2 linked regions of the Callithrix jacchus genome follow. The protein of the gene in region 1 purifies or fractionates together with the protein of each later gene. This does not show direct contact. Links are inferred from orthologs where the notes say so. Each region holds a gene or a part of one and is shown in the gene's direction. Other genes may lie near its edges.

Region 1 (3,656 bases):
CCAGCTACTTGGGAGGCTGAGGCAGGAGAATCACTCGAACCTGGGTGGTGGAGGTTGCAGTGAGCCGAGATTGTGCCATCGCACTCCAGCCTGGGCAACAGAGCCAGACTCCATTTCAAAAAACAAAAAAACTTGTCTTTAAGGCGTGGCTTCCCCCAGACCTGCAAAGGGGCCCTGAATTGGAGGTCTTAGTGTCAGCAACAGTGTTGATTTTGATAATGCAAGTCTGTGAATTCAAACCACACTTCCAGAACTAGTTGGAAGATAGGAACATTTCTGCATAGGAGACTTGAAATGATCTGGCAGCATTAAAATTGTCAGCCCTGAGGCCTGGCTATGTTCTGGGGGAAACCCTTTGTAGGGTAGACATCATTTACAGACAGGTACCTTTTCTGTTTGCTGTGGCTTCCGCTAGGCTGTGTCTGAGAACTCAATGGAGCACTTGAAAGATGTGCCTGTGGCTCCTGCCTGCCTTTGCATTAAGGGACAGTGCTAACCCTCTCTGGCTGTGTGGGCTGTTGTAGAGTCTGGTGGATGCTGCCGTGGGAGAAGGAGCACGTTGTTGCACCCCTCAGGATCTGCCTGACTTCTGTCTTAGCCACTGTTGAACTTATGCCTGCTTTTGACCAGGTAGCATGGAGTGTTTCGGTGGCATTTGTCATCGAAGATGTGTTAGATTATTATATGCTTTTGGATCCCTCCAGAGGATTAAGACAATTCTAATAATGAATCAGTAAGAGGTATGTTGGTTTTTATTTTCCTCAGTCTGTACTAAACTCAAACCAAGTTCTCATGCATTACTAGGTTGGAGAAACGTACGGTAAGGATATAACCTCCCGGGGCAAAGACAAGCCGATTGCCGTATGTAAAACTTTAGTCCACTTCAGTTTCAAGCTTTCTCTGTTTTCTCATTTCACTTCTTTTTCCTAGGATTTCTTATTAAGCCCCAAGTTCCTTGATTGTTTTATATTTAATTCACTCAAGGTTGGGGTTTTGCTTGATGAACTAAGCTTCATTAGAATGTGACAGTTTACCTAGCGGCTTGAATTAAAGCAGTTTGTGAACTGCGATCTTTCCCTCCTCCCAAGTGAAAGGAGGAGTGGGTGAGAGGGCCCCTCTCCTGGCTGGTTGGAGATGCAGATGTGGAGACTCCTCTTAGAAGCAGCCAGAGCAGGACTAACCTTGTTGCCAGGGCCTTCTTTCTCCGCTTCGGTGTCCCGTGTGGTCGGGCTGTCTGGGCGCAGCTGTGCGGTGCTGCTGAGCTAACTAACCCCACCATGCTTGAGATGGTGTGCCGGGTGCTGTGGTGATTCTTGGATGAGCTTGTGCATGCGCCAGCATTCTTCAAATGCCAGTTATAAAAAGCTGTTGTGTGGGATGTTTCTTTCCCTTTCAGGTACGAGGTAAAGCTGGATGGTTGAAAGTGTGGCTTGGGAATTGTATGCATTTCGTAAAGTAGCATAATTGCCTTTTTCCAGGAGAATATTTGATCAATCTAGCATTTTAGAAATTCTTAGGCGTTTTTAAATTTACTTGTAGGTAAATATTTGAATTTGATTTGACACAAAGTACAGAATGGAGGTCAGAAGCACTCTGCACTGTGTCCTCTGCATCCACTCTTCATGCCTCTGCTTTAGCCACAGCTGCCCTGGGGGCGAGTTCTCCAGAGGCCCTGGCTGTGCTGACACTAGGGCAGTGTGAGCATGGTTTTCAGCTGTGAAGGTGCCAGTTACACACTAAGCTCTCCTTCCTTGTGGAGGGAAGGACCCGAGTAGCAAATATTAGAGCCTCCACTTGGTGCTGGAAACTGTGACAGGCCACCTCCCAAAGGAGTTGAATTGAACCATTGACCACCTAAAAACATTTGTACTTGACATGCCAGTGGGGAGCCTGATTTTTTTTGTAGATTCTGTATTATTATTATTATTTTAAAATTTTATTTTATTTTATTTATTTTTTTTGAGACGGAGTTTCGCTCTTGTTACCCAGGCTGGAGTGCAATGGCGCTCAATCTCGGCTCACCACAACCTCCGCCTCCTGGGTGCAGGCAATTCTCCCGCCTCAGCCTCCTGAGTAGCTGGGATTACAGGCATGCGCCACCATGCCCAGCTAATTTTTTGTATCTTTAGTAGAGACGGGGTTTCACCATGTTGACCTCGTGATCCATGTGCCTTGGCCTCCCAAAGTGCTGGGATTACAGGCTTGAGCCACCGCGCCCAGCCTAATTTTATTTTTTTGAGATGGAGTTTTGCTCTGTCTCACGGAGATGGAGTTTTGCTCTGTCTCACGGGCTGGAGTGCAGTGGCTTGATCTCGGTTCACTGCAACTTCTGCCTCCCGGGTTCAAGTGATTCTCCTGCCTCAACCTCCCAAGTAGCTGGGATTACACGTGCCTGCCACCGTGCCTGGCTAATTTTTGTATTTAGAGACAGGGTTTTGCCCTCTTGGCCAGGCTGGTCTTGAACGCCTGACTTTGTGATCCACTCACCTTGGCCTCCCAAAGTGCTGGGATCACAGGCATGAGCCACCATGCCCAGCAGATCCTGTTTTTAAAATTAACTCTGCTTTTGGGAAACAGGAGAGCAGATTTTACAGAAATGTTGGCATACCTTCATACTTGATTTTTTTTCTGTTTAGATAGGCAGAAAGGAAACATCCCAGGGGTCTGGTCTGATCCTCCCTATCCTCGAAGAACTTCCCATGTCATTCTCCCTTCACACTCCCCATTTTCATAAGTAACTGGTGGCTTGACATGCTGGGTTGGTTTGGGAGCCTCTGACAAACTGAAAGGGTGGATTGGGTGGATCAGGGAGCGTCTGACCAAGCCGCCTATACCTAGTATAGTAGACACGCTCTCTGCCTGACAAGTGCTTCCCAGCAACATCTAGAACACAAAGTGCATGCTTTGTTCTAAGGTCATTGTCTAAATGTTTCCCTGTGTTTCCTTTTTGTAGGATGTGTTCTTAATTTGCTTTTCCCTTGTGAGTCCTGCATCATTTGAAAATGTCCGTGCAAAGGTAGGTGGGGATATAAAGTATGTATGTAAGTTATAGAATGATCCTCTCAGAAAGAAATACTTCAAAATACCATTTACTGCTAGGAATTTTCAGTTAAATTGGATTTTAGCAGTTTGCTACTTAGGTACATAATTGGGTTGGTTTGTTTTTTGAGATGGACGTCTTACTTTGTTGTCCAGGCTGGAGTGTGGTGGTGACATCAGAGCTCACTGTAACCTCGAACACCTGGGCTCAAACAGTTCTCCTGCCTCAGCCTCCCGAGTAGCTGGGACCACAAATGTGCACCACCATGCCTGGGTAATCTTGAAAAAATTTTGTAGAGCTGGTTTTGTAGACCCTGGCTGGTCTCAAACTCTTGGGCTGAAATGATCCTTCAGCTTCAGCCTCCCAGAATGCTGGGATTACAGGTATAAGCCACCGTGCCTGGCTCATCAGCAGTTCATTTTATTTATTTATTTATTTATTTTTGAGACAGAGTCTTGCACTGTCACCCAGGCTTGGAGTGCAATGGTGCAGCCTTGGCTCACTGCAACCTCTGCCTCCCAGTTCAAGCGATTCTCCTGCCTCAGCCTCCCGAGAAGCTGGGATTACAGGTGCTTACCACCACACCTGGCTAATTTTTGTGCTTTTAGTAGATATG
Region 2 (2,852 bases), on another chromosome or scaffold:
TGGAGTCTCACTCTGTCACCCAGGCTGGAGTGCAGTGGCATGATTTTGGCTCACTGCAACCTTTGCCTCCCGGGTTCAAGCAATTCTCCTGCCTCAGCCACCATGCTTAGCTAAGTTTTGTATTTTTAGTAGAGATGGGGGGGGTCTCACCATGTTGGCCAGGCTGGTCTTGAACTCATGACCTCAAGTGATCTGCCTGCCTTGGCCTCCCAAAGTGCTGGGATTGCATGCATGAGCCACCGTGCCTGGCCTAATCATATGATTTTTTTAATGGAAAATAACTTAAGGTTTTCTTTTAAGTAATATACATGTAAATTACTGGGCCATAAGTGTGAAACAACTTGACCTATTTTAGGAGAAATATACATTTGAGAGATACTATTTATTTGTATTACTGAAATAATTGACATTAAAAAATTAATAAATAGACATATTTATTTCTACTACAGTTGATTATTAAGATATTTATCTGACCCACTAAATGCAGTAATTTCTGACTTGCTCTGTGCACATCTGTTAAATCCAACTTTGTTCCCAGAATGTTTGGGAACATGTTCCCAGTAAATATTTGTAAATCTTAACATGTTCGAGGTGTCTAAAATTTTGCTTACATCTAAGTCACATGTTGCTGTGTTACTCAGCTATTTTCTGAGTACCCTAGTACCTTTGAAAACAGCAGAAGGACAGAAACAATATAGCTAGCCTCCTCTGTGGTGCTAATATCAGGGGGACCTTTCTGGTGCAAGACTTTTGAAAGTCATTTAAGTTTTAAGAGTACACCGAGATATACTAGTAGAAGAAAACTCGTTTTCCTATTCTACCTTTTTGTCATTGGATATTCTTGTAAAGAAAAAAACTGAAATACAGGCAGATAGCTTTCTAAATTTGCTAAAAGTTAATTATTTTCTTGTTTATTAGATTATATACGTAATACTTTTCATCCTGTGAATTGAATTAGTATTCTGTTATAAAATAATAAAATAACTGATGGTCATCATAATAAATCTCTAAATCAACAAGTAGGTTACATTGCCAGCAGCTTTCTTTGTTTTAAAAGCAGGATTAATATAATACATTTCTAAAAGTTTCTTAAAAATAGTTAAAATATTGGCATTGAAAGGATAAACTTTAAATATTTGATAGCTCATGTAAAACACTTTTCACCCCAATAATTCAAGGAAAATTCACTGATACTGTATATTTCTTTTAGACCTCAGACATATGTGGATCATATGGATGGATCTTACTCACTTTCTGCCTTGCCATTTAGTCAGATGAGTGAGCTTCTGACTAGAGCCGAGGAAAGGGTATTAGTCAGACCACATGAACCACCTCCTCCTCCACCAATGCATGGAGCGGGAGATGCGAAACCCATACCCACCTGTATCAGGTACGTCGGAAAAAGCATATGATGTTTTACCTTAGGACTCAGGAACCTTTTTCTTTAAAGGACAAGATAATATTTTTGGCTTTCAGGTCTTACAGTTTCTGTCACAAGTACTAAATTCTGCTATTGTTGCACGAAATCCACCATAGACTACATAAACAAATGAATGTGTCTGCTTCTAAATTCTATTTATAAAAACAGGGAGCAGGTCAGATTTGGTCTATGGGACGTTATTTGCGATATTCTGATTAGAGCTGACACATTCTCATAAGAAAATTTAGCTAATAAGAATTTAAAATCTGTTTCATTTTATGATAATGTTGTTATCAAGCATATCATGTGCAGTGTATTAAGAAAAATTAAGGATTTTTTGCAATATGGGTAATGGTCTAAGAAATGGGAACCAAAGATGTGATTATTAATACTAATTTGGTAGTAAGAAAAATACGTAAAGAATTTTAGAGAGGACTGGCAATTGCTCATAATAATCTCTCAGTAAAGCTATTTTGAAGTTTAATCTTGTCAGTTATTGTCCAAATGATAAATTTCTAATGGAGAAATATTTGAGAAATTTTCTAGTAGAGATAATAGAGATCAGCTTTACAATTTTCAGTTAAAAATTCAATTTTCTATCACTGACTCATTTGATGTTCCATCCTTAGGAAGAAAGAGAGCTGTACATTTCTTTTTGTGGTTTGTAATTAGCTGTCATTGATTTAACTGAAATAGCATATGATGAGACTTAATAGCTTCAGTATAAATACAGCATTGTATTGGCCACAAGTATTACTACAAAATTGCATTATGATCAATGTTGAGTCATTACAGAGATTCCTATCAGTATAGAATTGAGCATTTTATTTATCAAAGTAAGCATAAAATGTCTGAGTGAATACAAAAGTTGCTTGAGAGAATGAGACCATTTAGACTACTACAAACCAAAGCACCACTCATTTATTTTTTTTGTTGATGTGCTTTTAGTTCTTTTTTTCCTAAACACTATTGAAAATGTTAAATTTCTATAGGAGCATGTTAATTGGTCTATTCTGATATAATTATTGATAGTTGTTTATAGTTTGTTTGGTTAGATTTTCTCTTTAGGCTTTTCTCTTTTAATAACTTGCTAGAATCTCTTTGTCATTTCAGTTCTGCTACAGGTTTGATAGAAAATCGCCCTCAGTCACCAGCTACAGGCAGAACACCTGTGTTTGTGAGCCCTACTCCCCCACCTCCTCCACCACCTCTTCCATCTGCCTTGTCAACTTCCTCATTAAGAGCTTCAATGACTTCAACTCCTCCCCCTCCAGTACCTCCCCCACCTCCACCTCCAACCACTGCTTTGCAAGCTCCAGCAGTACCACCACCTCCAGCTCCTCTTCAGATTGCCCCTGGAGTTCTTCACCCAGCTCCTCCTCCAATTGCACCTCCTCTAGTACAGCCCTCTCCACCAGTAGCTAGAGCTGCC

The links. Proteins that work in one complex are often made in the same cells at the same time.
Region 2: the proteins of RAC1 (region 1) and WASF1 purify together in Homo sapiens (affinity purification with western blotting; 3 studies listed by BioGRID and IntAct, with this or other methods). This does not show direct contact. The link is inferred for Callithrix jacchus from reciprocal best matches to the Homo sapiens genes RAC1 and WASF1.

Annotation. Positions count from the first base shown.
Region 1 is NC_133503.1:16,134,968-16,138,623, forward strand, and holds part of RAC1 (ras-related C3 botulinum toxin substrate 1), read left to right. Parts: intron 1-804; coding exon 805-861; intron 862-2,953; coding exon 2,954-3,016; intron 3,017-3,656. UniProt on the Homo sapiens protein: Plasma membrane-associated small GTPase which cycles between active GTP-bound and inactive GDP-bound states.
Region 2 is NC_133505.1:116,273,803-116,276,654, reverse strand, and holds part of WASF1 (actin-binding protein WASF1), read left to right. Parts: intron 1-1,210; coding exon 1,211-1,390; intron 1,391-2,533; coding exon 2,534-2,852.